Caenorhabditis elegans: one gene and its partners. The protein of the gene in region 2 interacts with the protein of the main gene of each other region in a pairwise test. Each region holds a gene or a part of one and is shown on either strand. Other genes may lie near its edges.

Region 1 (7,985 bases), 1.3 Mb from region 2:
GATGAATTTCATCAAATTTCGTGCAATTTTTTATATTTTTTTGGGGGGATTTCACCAATTGTTTTCCAGATTTTTCTGCTGCAAAAAACCTGAATTTTATGTCAAATTTCATCAAATTTTCGCGCAATTTTCTCCGAATTTCTCACCAGTTTCCATCATTTGATTCATAGCATCAACCAGCTTCATCGCTTCATACTCTTTTTGCTCTTCAGACATTCCGGCAAGTGCACTTCCGTGATCCGATGGATAAATTGCTCCGGTCACTGGATTTACACTGAAAATCTCTTTTTTTCCATGGATTTTATGCACAAAAAGTATAGCATACCTATCCTTAATCTGATTATAATCCTCAGTTTCACTATCCTCACTGTCCGACGCGTGTTTTGGTTGATTGATTTGTCCGAGAAGACCCAAATTTGCGAGGTGACCGGCCGAGTGGCCGAATCCAAGGTATTTGATCATTCGATTCACTGGAAAAAGGGAATTTTTTAAAGATAAACCCTCACAAATTTTCCAAAACTGACGTTTTTGAAGGCGGAGTACCGAAATCTGGGAAATATTTTGAATTGGCTCAAAATTTTCCCTTGATTGTTGTGGAATGGGGAGCCATTCCACAATGTCTCGTCCTACGATCTCTTCAGAGATCTCTCAGACGAGGTTTCTATGACAAAGAGCCGCAGAAGTCATTCTTTCTTCTGCGTCTCTCGCTCTCATACGCTCTCTCACAAGAGTCACACTCGCGCCCCACAGCGACATTAGCTGCGCGACGACTCAAGCGACGACAGGATACGCAGCCATTGGACGCCACCACTTCAGTCTTGATGCTGCGCTCGTGCCGAACGGTCGTGCGTGGCACTTCTCTCCCGACGCATCCCCCATTTTCCTTTGTAATTGCCCCTCACTATTATTCATGTACTTGCTCCGATATCCAAGGAGAACCCGACAATCTCTGATAACCAAAGAGAACCCGACAAACTCCAATAACCAAGGAGTTTCCAGGCCTTCCCCCTACTTTATCCTCTCTCCCTCTTGTATTGTAATTCTTATAATTACTATATAAATTAATATATTTATACATTTGTTCTGTCACTAGCTCTATATTCAAGTCTCCTCGGGAGCAAGACCACCGCATTCATCCGCACTGCCACAGCGCTCCTTCCAGACTATACATACTCTTTCTTCGGTCTCGAGTCACTCTTCGTTACGGCTTAAAGGCTCGGTCGCCGCCTCCGGGTGCCACAACATTGATTCCGAATATCTTTGTGAAAAAATTCAAAAAAAAAATTTCCCTGATTTTATATTTCAAGCTTGATTGAAATCACGAATTTTGTGGCGCCAGAGACGCCTTGTGTCGATTTACGAGATTTGTGTATATTTACGAAATATTTGCTTAGGTTGCACTCCTTGACGGAAAATCCATCCAAATTGAAGCTTTTTCCGACTGAAAACCGAACATTTTGCAAATTTTTTTATACCTTAATAGACCTTAAAAATAGCCGAAAATCAGGGAAACTCGTAGAAAAAAGGGGGAAGTCAGCATCTGATAAAGATTAAACATTTCGTAAATATACACAATTCTCGTAAATCGACACACAAGGCGTCTTTGGCGCCACAAAATTCGCAGGGATTTTTTTTCTGAATTTTTCACATAGATATTATTGGAATCAGGGGAATATTTGAAGTCATTCGAAATTTTTTCCAGATTTCTGTACTCTAACTTAAAAAAAAAACTTTGAATTAAGTTAATTTCGTACCTGATCTCTTGCAAATAATGAAAAGGAACTCGGCGGCGACATCTTTCGTTGACGACGGAAGCATCATAATTCTAGCGATTCGGCCACGTAGTGTATTGTTCTCCTCCGGCCGTTTTTGCACTTCTTCTGATACCAGTGGGGGAATTACCTGCAAAAATTCGAAAATTTTGAATTTTTTTTTGAAGCTTTCAAAAACGACATTTTCATATAATTTTTTAATAATTTTACTAGTGTATTTTGTGAAAAAAAAATTTTTTAATCAGAACATGAATAAATTTTTCTATATACCTTTTTAATTGACTCCAAATTTGCTCTCTGATTCCGAATATCTAAGTGAAAAAATTCAAAAAAATTTCCTTGATTTTATATTAGAGCCTAAAATCGCGCAGTTCATTTGTGCACCCATGAACTTTTTTCAAATTCGCGCCGAAATAAATTATCCTTGGAGCGCGTTTGTCTCAATTAATTTCAAAACGCGCTCCGGGGATAATTTTTTTCGGCGCGAATTTGAAAAAAGTTCATGGGTGCACAAATGAAATGCGCGATTTGAAGCCCAAATAGAAAATCAGGGAATTTTTTTTGAATTTTTTCACATCGAAATTCGGAATCAGGGAAAAATTTGGAGTCAATTAAAAATATTTCCCGGATTTCGGTACCCCATCTTTAATAATTTTACTGATGTATTTTGTGAAAAATGTTTTTTTAAATCAGATCATTTTTTTTTCATAGAGGCGGAAGATTTTTTTTTAAATTTTTTATAAAATGTCTTGAATTTTTTTCAAATTTTCAAAATTTCCCTATCAACACTGCAACTTTTTCCTCACGAGGGACGAGGAAAAGTGGTTTCTAGGCCATGGCCGAGGGGCCGACAAGTTTCAGCGGCCATTTATCTTGCTTTGTTTTCCGCCTGTTTTCTTTTGTTTTTCACAGCTTTTTCCCGTTTTTTCTTATTAAAACTGAAAATAAATATTTTTTGCAGATGCTAAAACAATTTCCAAGTGAAAAAATTTATGTATTCAGTGGGCAAGCAGCGGTGAAAGTGGGCATTGTAATATGATGGATTACGGGAATACAAAACCTAAACTTTTTCTGAAACATAATACATATGCTGCTTAAATGCTGAGACTACCTGATTTTCATAACGAGACCGCTGAAAAAGTTTTGAGGTTTCCAAAATTCAACTTTTTTGGTGAAAAAGTCGAGATTTTCGCACATCCGCTACTTGCCCACTGAATACATAATTTTTTTACTTGGAAATTGTTTTAGCATCTGCAAAAAATATTTATTTATCAGTTTTCTTAAGAAAAAAACGAAAAAAATCAGTGAAAAACGAAAGAAAACAGGCGGAAAACAAAGCAAGATAAATGGCCGCTGAAACTTGTCGGCCCCTCGGCCATGGCCTAGAAACCACTTTTCCTCGTCCCTCGTGAGGAAAAAGTTGCAGTGAAATTTTCAAAATTTCCCTATCAAGTGTTTTTTTTTTCACGAACCCGAATTCTACAATATCTGCGAACATATTTACTATCCGTACAAAGCCTAGCGAGAACTTGAAAATATGGTCCAACAAGATCTGTAAGTGTTGAAGCTTCTGCCGACAACATTGGATTCTGCTGCTGATTTGGAGCATCATTGAGCAGTAGAGCAACGACTTTTGTTAGTTGCTTATCCAAATGCATGAGAATTGCCTCGGTGAGCTGCATATTGCTAAGTTCCTCAACAAAGAATTTCTCCTCCTCGTTTTCTCCTCCGTTATTTTTTGAATTTTTTCCACAAAGTACTGAGAGGACCATTGGTAGTGGTGGAACTGATAAGCAATGAATTGCAGATTGAACGACGTCATCGGTGAGCACATCGGAGCAAATTGCGTCACGAAGGATTTGGCACGTTTTTGCCGCGTTTTTCTGAAAAAAAAAACTTTTTTTCGTCGTAATTTGTAGCAAAACTTTGACATTTTTTATGGAATTTTTGATACTTTTGGGGTTAAAAATTTGAAAAATAAATGAATTTTTTCAGAAATGTGCTTTAAAAAAATTTTAAAAAATTCTGACATTCCTAGATAATTTTACAAAATTTACCGCAATTTAGAAGAATTTTCACGAGAATTTAAAGCTGAAAAAAAACGAAAATTCAGAAAAAATGCGAAAAAAGCGAAAAAAAAAGAAATTTTTTTTTCGCAAATTTTTAATTTATTTTTTATTTTTTGGGCCAATTTCAGGAAGTTTCTCAGAATTTTTCTGCTCAATTCAAAAAAAATATGATATATAATTATATATTAAATTAATTTGTTTTTTTGGAAAATAAAAATAGAGTGATATTTCATGATTTAAAAAAAATGAAAATAAAACGAAAATCGATGATTTTTATCTTTTTTTTAATCTAAAAAAACCTCAAAAATCTCAAAAAATTGCATTTTTTATGACGATTTCTATAGAAAATCGTCATTTTTGGATTTTTGATATTTTTCAATGAAAATTCCTGAAAAACCGGAAAATTTCACCGATTAATCGTACGAAAATTGGAAGTTTTTATATGAATTTTTTTTTTTAATTTGGAATTTCAAGTTAAAAACTCGAATTTTTGTAGTTTAAAAAAAAAAAGTTTTAAAAAATTCAAAAAATCGCATTTTTAAGGTATAAATTTTGGTATTTCAGTTTTTTTTTTTTTTTTGAATTTTTACATGATCAATAGCCTTCACATCTCCGTGAAAATGGCAAAAAACGTTGAAAAACGTCTTCAACGCCTCGGTAGCTCGATTTATATCCTGAGTGCTGTTTTCTGATCGATTTGTGCAAATTTCGACGGCCAAAAGCAGAGAATCAATGGTTTTTGGGTCGTTGGCCCAGTTTTTCTGCAAAAAAAAAATTAGTTTTTCACAAAAAAACTAAAAATTTTCATGAATATTCGCAGATTTTCTCATAAAAATTGAAATAAAAAAATTTATTTTTTGTAAAAATTGATTAAAAACCTATAATTTTTATGTTTTCCAAAATTTTTTGTAAAAAAAAATCTGAAATAATAAAAAAAATTTCGAACCGCGACGCGACCGCAACGCGCGGTCCACAGTTTTTAAAAACTAAATTTGCCGATAAAAATCACACAAAAATCGGTTTTTTCAGGCAGAAAATTCAAATTTTTTCTGAGAAATCTGAATTTATTGAACCGCGACGCAACCGCAACGCGTGGCATCGCTCAAAACTCGAAAAATATGTGTATTTCCAGTAAAAAACGCTCGATTTTTCTGCCGATTTTACACGAGTTTTCTCCAAAATTCGGGTCATTTTTGTGTCAAAAAATTCAAATTTTTCGTGTCGTTTCGAGCACCTGAAATTCCCTGCCCAATGCAGTTGCAATAAAAGCGATCCGATGATAGAAATACCAAATTTCGGCGGCTTGAACCGGATTCAGAAGGCGAATCCAATCGATTGACGACGTTTTTCGGCGGTTTTCCTCGAATTCTCCGAGGAAAAATTGCAAATTTTCACCAGTTTTCGGGTTTGCACTGCAAAAATCGTGTTTTTTTTCTAATTTTTAGCTAATTTTCTTAGAAATTCAATTAAAAATCAGATTTTATAGATTTTTTTCTAATTTTTTTTTCGGAAAATAACCTTTTTTTCCACTTTTAAAGGATTTTTTACACTTTCCTATGCAAAAAATCACTTTAAAATCGATTTTTCAATTGAAAACTCACTAAAATCGATCTCTCATTCGTTGTGAGTGAAACAAAGTGTTGATTAGACATTTTTGCGCCTCCATTAGTGCTGAAATTATGATTTTTGGCGGGAAATTCGAGAATTTTTAGGCTCAAAATTGCCTTACTGTGGACAGTTTTCGAGTTATTTTCGTTTGACGAGAGTTCCGCGAAGGCGAGGATTTTATCGCAGAGCGGGTCGTTCAGGAGGCCCTGGAAATTGGGAAAATTGGGGTTTTTTAGTTTTTTAGCTGAAAAATCCGAATTTTCAGTTCAAAATTGCGTAGTATTTCCCTACCTCCAATCCATCTTTTTCCCTACTCAAAATCTTTATCGTCTCCAGCAGCACGTGGGTCAGCTCTCCGTTTTCTATAACCTCACAAATCCGGTCTCCGAGCTCCTGAAAACTGGAAATTTATTGCAAAAACTAATTAATTAAAATCTCTCACATTCTTTGCCGAGTTCGCCATATCGAATTTTGAGACAGCGGCGTTCGCGAAATTCCATTTCGAGAAGAATTCCTCGATTTTGGCAGGCTTCCCGCCGAAAATCGACGCAATCAGGTCGGAATGTAGTTCTTCAGACATGGAATTGCCTGAAAATCATGAAAAATTAATTATTTACGAGAAAAAATGCAATTTCAGGATCGAACAATTCAAAAAATCGCGAATTTTTGTGATGCTAAACAGCACGCGCATGCGGGATTTCGGAGCATCGTTAAAAATTGTTTTAAAAAAAGCGAAAAATTACTTTTTTTCCGAGGTTTTTAATGATTTTTTTTACGGTTTTTGTTGAAAAATAACAGAATTTTAACTGGTTTTCGGAAAAATTTCAGATTTTACTCTCTCCAATCGTATTTATGGCAGAATCAAAGAAACGAGGAGAAAAATAGTGAAAATTCGATTTTTTTTTTTTCACTAGCTTATTCTGAAAAAAAAACCCTTATTATTTGCATCGAAACACCATTTTTGGTCATTTTGAAGTGATTTTTCATTGAAGTAATTGCGAAAAATAATGAAAATCAACAATTTCGATCAAAATTTTGCAATTTTTTCGATTTTTCCCTCGAATCTCTCGAAAATAATGCGATTTTGATTGAAAAAATTAAAAATTCAATGAATATGACATCTGCTTCTCTGAACAAAAGCTAGCGACGCCCATCACCATGGAAACTCGCTGCTAGGTAATCCCTTGTGGCGGCAATCACCGTGGGAACGAGCAGGCATTAAAGAAAAATTGTGCTTCGGCTTATTATTGTGTTAAAATTTATTTTTTTAGGCGGAAAAACAGCAAAAATTCACAAAAAAAATTCGAAAAACCGCCATTTTTTGAGCAATGATAAACAACATGCACGTGCGGAACATCGGAGCATCGTTGTGTTTTTTTCGTTTTTCAACGACTTGTTACTAGATAATTAAGCATGGAAACAGCCATGAAATCAATAAAATTAAAAAATCTATGTAAAAACTCATATTTATACGAAAAATCTACACAAAAAAAATGATAAAATCCACCGAAAACTCTATTTTTCACACAGAAAATGTCGAAAAAAGATTAAGCTCGAACTTTCGGAAGAACGTCGGCCTTCTTGTAGGACGGCTGAACGACACGATCCTTGTTCATGGTGATTTCGGCGTGAGCGTACGAGTATTTGTCGAATTTCAGGTATTCGTCGCATTTGTACAGTGACCAATCGGGTTTTCCGCCTGAAAATTGAGAGATTTTGCGTGGAAATTGGATGGAAATTGGGAAAAACTTGTCTGAAATTCGATTTTTTTTCTAGAAAAATGCACATTTTTCCAGAAAATTAGACTTTTCATAGTTTTTTTTTCTGACAAAAATCGATATTCTGCTCATTTTTAATGTTTAATCAGAATATTTTCGGCTAAAATCGATTTTAACAAGAAAAATGGCGAAAAATCGACATTTTTTGCAGAAACTAGCTTTTTTCAATGAAATTGTAACTAAAAATTTAGCTATTCACAAGTTCTAATGCAAAAAATCAAATATTTCAGTGATTTTACGGGAAACATCGAATTTTCGTGCCATTTCCGCAAAAATTCAACTTTTTCAGCTATTTTTAAGGAATTTTTTGGCTTAAACTTTTTCAATACAATATTATGACGGATTATTATCTAGTTTAGAGTTTCAGAAAGCCATACCAGCGACCTGTCTGGCCTTCTCTGCGTGCTCGATTCCGGTGCTCGTTTTTGGAGCCGCCGACGCCATCCGACGAGCCGAAATAACCATCAAGCGGTTCATTTCTGAAAAAAAAAACTTATTTATCAATTATTTTACCAAAAAATCAATGAAAAAACTGAAAGAAACAATGAAAATCGATGATTTTCGAGATTTTTAATTAATTTCTTTTCCGAGTCGCGAGAAAAATCGATATGTGCCTTGGACGCTTGCTGGCGCGTTTCGTGATGTTTATTGGCGCGTTTCTCGTGCAATTGTTTCGGCGGGAGAATTCGAATCTTAAACTGTTTGCGGCGCGTTTTCGGTCATTTTTCTTCGATTTTTAATCAGTTTTTATCGTTATT
Region 2 (4,799 bases):
AAACAGCGTAGAGGTCACCTGAGGACCCCGGAAAGTGGGCGGAGCTACAATTCGACCGGTGATCAAAACCTGTTTTTAGAGAGAGCGCGCGCGCTCGCGACACTGTCCTTGTAGTCCAAACTTTTGGAAAAAAGGGTATTGGAATATTAGGTATACGCAGAAAATTTAGTAAATGATTTGAAAAACTCCAAGTCCTAACCTAAAATTGTTTTAATTCTAGTTAAAATTTTGTGTTTTTTTAGGTTGAGGCATTGATTTTCATTGTTTTTCATGTCGAAATTCGGATTCTGCGTGCAATTTCCGTTAATTTGACCCCCATAATGACCGGATTCTAATTATTTTAAAATTTTTGAAAATGGATCGAAGTGGCGCAACTGGGTAGAGGTTGGGCTGTAGCGCACAAGACCGGGGTTCGAGCCCAAGTAAGGGAAAATGTTTTTCTCAAGGTTTGTTTGGATAGTTAAAGTGTGTTAAAATAAAAAGGAATCCTAGAAAATCGGAAAAATTGGAAAATTTTTTTGAAAAAAAGTTCTTTGAGCAACATTTTTTTTACCTGAACATTTCGAAGGGCATTTAGCTGTTGAATGATATTTGGCATCATTGGTGGACCGACAACTGACGGGTGTCCTAACAATGGGTTTCTGGTAGCCTGGAAATTCAAAAATTTAAGGGAGAATTTAACAAAAAAAAAACAAATTTTGGGGCAAAAGTTAAAAAATATTTTTGAAAACGAGATCAAACCTTTCATGATATTTTTTTGAGGGAAAAAAAAGGTTATCGAATGACCTTCCACACACATAGACACATAGTAATTTTTCATTAGGGTCGAGAATTTGAGAGATATTTCGTTTTTTTTTCGAAAAAAATTGGACATTCTTTTTGCCCCCGCCATATAACTTTTTCCGCTACAGTCAGCAGGCCCCTCCCGCACACTCTTCTCTAGGCACTCGAGACCTCCTCGTTTCGTCCTCCCATGTGGTCTAGTGGTTAGGATTCGTGGTTTTCACCCACGCGGCCCGGGTTCGATTCCCGGCATGGGAAGTTTATTTTTTTATTTTTGCACTGCCAGTTTTGCCGAATTCTCATTTTTGCAGAAAATAGTTTACCTGCATCATTGCCATCAACTGTGGGTTGCTGAATACGTTTAGTTGAGCCGCCATTATTGCCGGATTGAACAAATTCGGCTGAATACCAGGGATTGGTGTGTTCGCATGCTGTGGGGGTTGGAAAGCTGTTGGGGTGCCTGAACATATTTATATTTATTTTTTATTCGAAAAAAATTAATTAGAATATTACCTGGCGTTGAGGGAATTAGGTGAGATTCTTGTTTGATAGCGGTCGGAGCAATTAGGCTCCGTGAGAAATCGATGGGTGGAGGTGGGGGTTGCTCGACGGAGCAAGGGTCACCCAGCGTCTGGAATAAGAAAATTATAATTTTTCATAAACTTTCCAGTTAATTAGCCTGTTTAAGACAATTTTTCCAAACTTTAAATTCAGAGAATTTTTTTAAAAGATATTCATTGTCAAATTCGAATTCTCCATGAAATTTCCGTTAAGTTGACACCCATATTGACCAATTTACAAAAATTTTGAAATTTTTAGAAAAGTCAAAAAATTGGGTCCCAGTGGCTCAGCTGGTCAGAGGTTAGGCTGAGTCAGAAGGTCGAGGGTTCGAGCCCAGTTGTGGTTTTTATTTTTTACTATAACTGTTTTGATGGTTGAAACAGTTTTAGAGTGACAGGAATTTCATTTTAGAATTTTTTTTTCGTAAATCTTTTTTTAACTCCCATAATTTAGACTTTTACATGTTATTTTGTACAAGAAATCAAAATAAAAAGAAAATCCCTCCTACCGGACTAGAACCCCGGTCTTCTGCGTCATAGTCTAGACCAACAGATACCCGACTGAGCCACCGAGACCAAATTTAACTTATCGGAAATAGGGCAATATGGGGGTAAATTAACGGATTTTAGAGATTTTAGACGGAAGATTCGAATGTTTTAATAAAATAATTGAAAAATTGAAAAATTAGCCTTTAAAAATTTTTTAAACAATTGTCCCGAAAAAAAGTTTTTTTCAGAAATTGTTTTGTATTGTGCGGTAAATTGGTGTAGAATTTAACGTTGAATACATTTTAATTGAAATATTGGTACTTGTGTATTACATGCCCTCATTTTTATAGTAATTTTTTAAGTTGTGCAAAATAAAAACGTGAACCACACTTTTGGATTTTTAGGCTTAGGAAATAAAATTTCCTAACTAGGGAACCGTCAGAAGGTGCCCATCGGACTTGCATATGAAACCTGTGCCATTCGATAGCTGCGAATCTCCAGAACCAAGCTCACGGCGAGCTCTCAAATATCCTAAAATAGCACTGTAACGAAGCACTTTACGATCAAAACAAGCAATTTTCCTTATTCACTTTGGTAGCTCATATCTCTGCGGATAAATTTTTCAAAGAAAAGTCATCAACTGATAAATTGTTGAACTTTTTGTAAAGAACAAGTTTGTAGTTAAAAGTTTTTACCAAAAGTTTTTTGTTTTAGATAAAAGCATTAAAATCGCAATAGCAGCAGTTGCCGCACTTCATGCGCTTCTATCTGAAACAACAATTTTTTTGACAAAAACTTTCAACTACAAACTTGTTCTTTACAAAAATATCAACAACATATTAGTTGATGACTTTTCGGTAAAAAATTTATCCGCTGAGATATGAGCTACCAAAGTAAATTTGGAAAATTGGCCCTTCACTACTTCGTTAAAGTGCTATTTTCAGGATCTTTGAGAGCTCGCCGTGAGCTTGGTTTTGGAGATTCGCAGCTAAAAATTCACGAGTAACCGTTTAATTTAATTTAAAAATGAGGACATGTAATACACAAGTACCGAAATATTTTCGATTTGAGTGCTAGTTCTTCAGTAAAACCTAAAAAATGTACAAAAATGAACGTTTCCTCAGAAAACTCACCATATTAATCCAAGTTTGATGGGATGCTGAAGCTTGACTCTCAGCAAATATTAGCCCAGTTGATGACGTGGAATTTTCTAGAATAAGGGGACGATGTGGGTGATCAGAGCACTTTGGCAAAGTGTACATGAGTATACAGAAACAAGAGAGAATAATATAGTAGTACAGTGAGAGGTGTTTCAGACCGTTATTCCTGGAGACTCTCCCCCTTATCACCGCGCCGCCGGTCAGTCAGCCGCTGCTGACCAACTGGAAATATGTTTCAAGCGGTGTGGCGCGCGGCGTGGGAAATAGTGCGCGAAACCGGGAGAGTGCACACAGAGGTGAGTGACCGTGGGGGGCATTGTATGCTAATAGCAACGCGGAACGAATTTTGGGGGCGGGGGGAACTGTACTATGTGTTGCGGTTTTGGTATAACAAAGTTGCAAAAAAAAAGGTCACAACTTTTGAGGAAAACGAACATTTAAGTCTTTAGCATTTGGGTTTAAACGTTTTAAACCTAAAAATTCGAATTTTACAAAAAATTTCCGTCAATATGACCCCCATATTGACCTATTTCGGTAGTTTTTAAATTGTCAAAAATTTCGGAAAATGGGGCGAAGTGGCTCAATCGGGTAGAGGCTGGGTTATGGTGCAGAAGGTCAGGGGTTCGAGTCCCAGCTTGGTCATAAGTTTTTGTTGCAATTTTTTGAGTGACAAAAATACAAAATTTCGAGCTAGAAACTAGTTTTCAACACTTTCCATGTGTCGAGTAATTTTCGTTGAAAAAATTAAATTTTAGTAAATTAAACGTCAAATTCGAATTCTCCATTAAATTTCAACGTGACTCCCATATTGGCCTAATTAAGATAATTTTGAAATTTTTTAGAAATTTCGTGAAAATGTGTGCTGAACTGGGTACATGTTAGGCTATGGCGCAGAAGGTCAAGGGCTCGACCCCAACGTGCACCAGAACATTTTTGCACAGCTTAATTTAACATAGTTTCCCCTGTTTTAAAGTAATTTTGACATTACACACATTTTTTTCATTATTTTGGAAAAAATTTACAAAAATGTAACTCTCACAAATTTTGTCAAAAAAGTTACACTGATGGAGTAAAATTTTTTTCATCAAAATATGGAAAGTATAGAAAATCCTTGAAAAATCCCCAAAAATCATATCCCCCGCTACCGGGGGATAATCGGTGTTTAGCGGAGCCGTGAACTCAATCTGTTAAATAATTTTTTTCTTCTGTGCCGGCCGGGGCGGATTTTCTTTTTTCATTTTCATTAAGATAATTTATAGGTGAGCGGCTTTGTTGCTTAAGTATTAGCTGTGAGGATTTGTTGTTAATTTTTTTTTGGAAATTTTTTTCGACAATATTTACCCATTTCATATGATCAAAAATGTACCGGAAAAAAAATTTGGGACCGGCTGGGGTCGAACCCTGGTGTCGAGATTCACAGCCAAACCTGTTAGCCACTGAGCCATCGCGGCGAAAATTGAAAATTTCCGGTTTTTTGGGCCAAAAATTTCACATACAGGGTTCAACCTAGTTTCCAACTCGAGATTCTTTTCTTGTTAGATGGAAAAAGTCTCACAAAAATATTCACCTACAGCGGGGATTGAACCCCTGTCTTCCGCGCGTCAGCCCAACCTCTACCCAGCGAAGCCACCGCGACCTATTTTTCAAACTTATAGGAAATGGCTCAATATGGGGGCCAATTTGACTAGAATTTTGATGAAGAATTCGAGTTTTTATATTAAGAAGTTCTTAGTAGAGTTTCAAAGATTTTTTTCGGTAAAAAACTATTGAAAACTTCCTGAAAAATCATTTTCAGAAATTTTCAGAA
Region 3 (3,482 bases), 9.0 Mb from region 2:
TACTTTGTATAAGTGCTAATTTATTTAAGGTGAATACTCGAAAAATTCCAATTACTTATTCAATCAAAAATTTCAATTTGAAAACTCACGAGTAAGCCATCGAGGAAACCGAGGTAAGTGCATCGACAGCATTTTTGATTGGAACCTTTTTGGGATCCAAAGGGTTGTACGGTCCAAATCTTTCAGGTTTTTCACTTTTATGATCTTCAAGAAGGTCGGATATTTTAAAAAGGATTTGACAATCATCCATTTGTCGACTCTGAAATTAATAAAAATCGAGACTTTAAACTAATTGAAATATTTACCTCAATTATATCGAGAAGGTTGGAGACCGGGGGAAATCGACACTTGTCCGATGAGAGGAAATGCTCAAAATTGAGAATTTTGAGAACAGTTGAGATGGCTTTTGTCGGAAAATGCTCACAGTCATCGTCTTCGATTTCGATGGCAATTGTGTGAAGGCAATCGTAAAGCTAAAATATAAATTTATTGAAATTTTTTTAGTCGAACAAAAATAGCTCACCCTAGCACCAAAGTGGTAAAAAGATGAAAAAACTCGTTGTCGTTTTTCTTCGTCTGCTCCATCCATATCCATTTCTAATGGAATGAGGTGATTGAACATATTAAGGTGAGCCATTCCACCTTTGGCTAAACTAACACGGTGGTCTCGTCGCTTCTGAAATTTTTAAAATAATTGATATTGGAAAATTCTGAATTTTTAAGCAAAAAGGAAAATACAAAGAAAAATGATTGTTTTAACTGAAACAATAATCTTAATGGTAACTTTTCAAAACAAAAATTTTCTTCCGGAAACCTATGTGGCAGGTGAAGAGGATAACCCATAATTTCAAAATGTTGGAAAACAATTTATTGTGTTTCTTCCATGAAAGTAAGACACAGGCGATGTTCGGAGAAGTTGTAGGCGCGTGACAGACATAATACACGTCTTCTTCCATCTGCCCTTTTCGTTTCACTATCGGAACAACGGCATGGCAACGGGCATGAGGAGGAAAGGAATTAGGGAGGATGTGAGAAGATGAATCGATGGATGATAGTGATAAAGAAGGAACATATTGATTATTGTTCGCAATAACATTCTAGAAAATTTAGAAAATCCTAAAATTAGCATTCAAAAAAATAAATGACTTCGTAGATCCGAAACGCATGTTACTTTTTGAATTAAACATAATGATTTCTTAACAATCGATATAAACAATTTTCTCAAATATATTAAAACTAACTTTATCAAAACTAGAAAAAAATTATGGAGGATAATCCGAATACTCGCGCATAACGCATCCTCCTTTTCCCTAACGAAATCCAGTTACGAGCAATAGAAATGTAAACGAAGTAATATGAAAAATGATTTTGCAAACTTCAAAAATTAAATGAAACTGAAAAATTCAATATTCCTCCCAAAACCATGCAAGAATTGAGTCTTGGAAAGCTGGTTGGCAAATTCGAAAGAAAATAATGGGTTCGTAAAAGCGTCAGCACGAGAATTGCGCCAGCAACTTGTGCTGACGCATTTGCTGTGCGTGCTCCCAAAAAATAAAAAAAAGGTTTTTATGTTTTGTGAATAAAAAAAAGTTCTGTACAGAATTCTGTTTAAATGTTTGTAAAAAACAGAAATCGACAATTCGTGATAAAGAAGAATAGTTTTAAAAATTGTGTTATTTTAATATTAAATTTAATGTCACGTTTCCAATTATTTGGATTTAAGAAAACGTTTTATAAAACCTGAAAATCAAAAAAAAATCATTTCCCAATTGAGTTTTCATACAAACCGATCGAATTATGAAGAAAAATGAAAGCGGCAGCGTAAGACAACTGAAACGATTCAAAATAAACATAAATGAATTAAGTTGGCTCTTGATAAAGATTTCAACATTGACAAGCTTTTGCCAAAGGAATTGATCGACCATTTCATGATTCGAAAGCCAATAGGAGTTCGTGTACACAAGCAGGATTGTCGGGTAATTGTCAAATAGTATTTATTCAAATTCTTGAGCTCTTGATCTTGATTTTGGGACACCATACATAATTCATATTCAGATCACACATGTCCTTCCTGAATCACATCTTATTGGAAAAGCATTTCTAGGTGATTGTATCACTGCAATCGATGAAAAAGTTATCCACACTAGTGACGAGTTGCACCAAAAGTTGAAAGAGAAAACTGAGGTGTTAATATTTCTGAATCGAGTGTTTGCAAACGAAAATTTCAGAATATTCATCTACAACTGAAACGTAACATGTTTTCCTGGTGTTTTCATATTCGAACAACTGTTGAGAAAATCCAAATTGACAGAGATTTAGAGAGAATCACTCCAAATCCTGTTAACCATTACTTTGTGAGACAGCTTTTTAAAAATTAAAAAAAAAACTTTCTTATTTTAGGTTCTCATAAAAGTTCGTCCAACTCCTGAAATGCAATTCATTGACTTGGGATTATTTGTCAAATATAACAATAGAGATCGTTTGGAGGTAATTTAAACTTACAGTAACCACCGCATTTCATTTTCAGGTTGATTATGTTACTCCAAACAGCTTAGCATCCATCCATCTGAAATCTGGAGATGTCATTCGGGAGTGTAATTCTCAGGCAATTTGCTCGAAGAGCATGCTCCGTTATTGTATTGCGAGCAGCATCGCTTCTTCTGGACACTTTACGCTTCTTATTGAAGCACCAATTCGAGATATTCTCAGAGATCACATTGATTTGGCAGATGATGTTGTGGCAATTGCTGATAAGGCGGTAGAGGAGTTCAGAAAATTGGGGAAAGGATATCTACCACAACAACCGAAGAAAGGAGATAAGAAGAAAAACATCAAATTGAAAGAGGGACGTACAGAACATCAGATCGTTAGTGACATTGATCCTGCTAAACTGAGAGCGTGTAAAAATGCTAGCTGAATTTCTCTGATAATAAAGTTTCTACATTAAAATCCTTAAACATTCATAATTAAATATTATACGTTAACAGCAAACAAAATAGTGTAAGAAACAAATATGAGAAAAACTGCGGTTCAAATGGGTTCAAATAAAGCCAGGAACTAAAATGCGAACCGGATATGGATAATTTAAAGATGTAATAGCAATTTATCGTACGAGTTGAAGAGTCTGACCAACAAGAGACGTCACGTCAACTGTTGGATGGACCGCCGATCCATCGACATTCTTCAAGGCAATCTTACCGTTCCAGAGATCAAGAGCAGAGCGAACCTGAAACAAAAACAGATTTAACATTTTAAATTTCTAGGAAAACCCGATAAACATACGTGATATAGAAGATCAGCATATCCCTTCAGGTGTTCTTTTTCTGTTTTCACATGAACTCGAACTTTCTTTGATCCATCAACAACAGTGATCCCATCGAAACTGTCACCTTCGGCGAACAACCAAAGCTGAAAATAATTGTTCAGGAATATTAGAGAACATCAACAAAAACGGAATTTACCTCAACTTCTGAATCCTTAAT

Evidence for each region. Proteins that work in one complex are often made in the same cells at the same time.
Region 1: the proteins of nhr-41 (region 2) and ric-8 interact in a two-hybrid assay, tested with the Caenorhabditis elegans proteins (one large-scale study listed by BioGRID).
Region 3: the proteins of nhr-41 (region 2) and mpz-5 interact in a two-hybrid assay, tested with the Caenorhabditis elegans proteins (one large-scale study listed by BioGRID).

Annotation. Positions count from the first base shown.
Region 1 is NC_003282.8:2,641,031-2,649,015, reverse strand, and holds the start of ric-8 (Chaperone ric-8), read right to left. Parts: upstream 6,038-7,985; 5' UTR 6,030-6,037; coding exon 5,892-6,029; intron 5,843-5,891; coding exon 5,741-5,842; intron 5,656-5,740; coding exon 5,571-5,655; coding exon of another isoform or gene 5,513-5,570; coding exon 5,443-5,512; intron 5,254-5,442; coding exon 5,076-5,253; coding exon of another isoform or gene 5,049-5,075; intron 4,603-5,048; coding exon 4,432-4,602; intron 3,656-4,431; coding exon 3,245-3,655; intron 1,903-3,244; coding exon 1,755-1,902; intron 471-1,754; coding exon 326-470; intron 275-325; coding exon 147-274; intron 1-146. Other genes in the region: nduv-3 (NADH dehydrogenase [ubiquinone] flavoprotein 3, mitochondrial), read right to left, coding at 6,997-7,148, 7,605-7,704. UniProt on the Caenorhabditis elegans protein: Chaperone that specifically binds and folds some, but not all, nascent G alpha proteins prior to G protein heterotrimer formation, promoting their stability and activity.
Region 2 is NC_003282.8:1,384,458-1,389,256, reverse strand, and holds the start of nhr-41 (Nuclear Hormone Receptor family), read right to left. Parts: upstream 3,043-4,799; 5' UTR 2,969-3,042; coding exon 2,966-2,968; intron 1,415-2,965; coding exon 1,297-1,414; intron 1,244-1,296; coding exon 1,107-1,243; intron 1,042-1,106; exon of another isoform or gene 970-1,041; intron 650-969; coding exon 554-649; intron 1-553.
Region 3 is NC_003282.8:10,372,101-10,375,582, reverse strand, and holds mpz-5 (PDZ domain-containing protein), read left to right. Parts: upstream 1-1,760; 5' UTR 1,761-1,797; coding exon 1,798-1,821; intron 1,822-1,865; coding exon 1,866-1,976; intron 1,977-2,055; coding exon 2,056-2,184; intron 2,185-2,228; coding exon 2,229-2,354; intron 2,355-2,400; coding exon 2,401-2,487; intron 2,488-2,527; coding exon 2,528-2,917; 3' UTR 2,918-2,945; downstream 2,946-3,482. Other genes in the region: Ankyrin repeat and KH domain-containing protein mask-1, read right to left, coding at 90-259, 306-473, 524-637; iars-1 (Isoleucine--tRNA ligase, cytoplasmic), read right to left, coding at 3,104-3,226, 3,283-3,408, 3,462-3,482.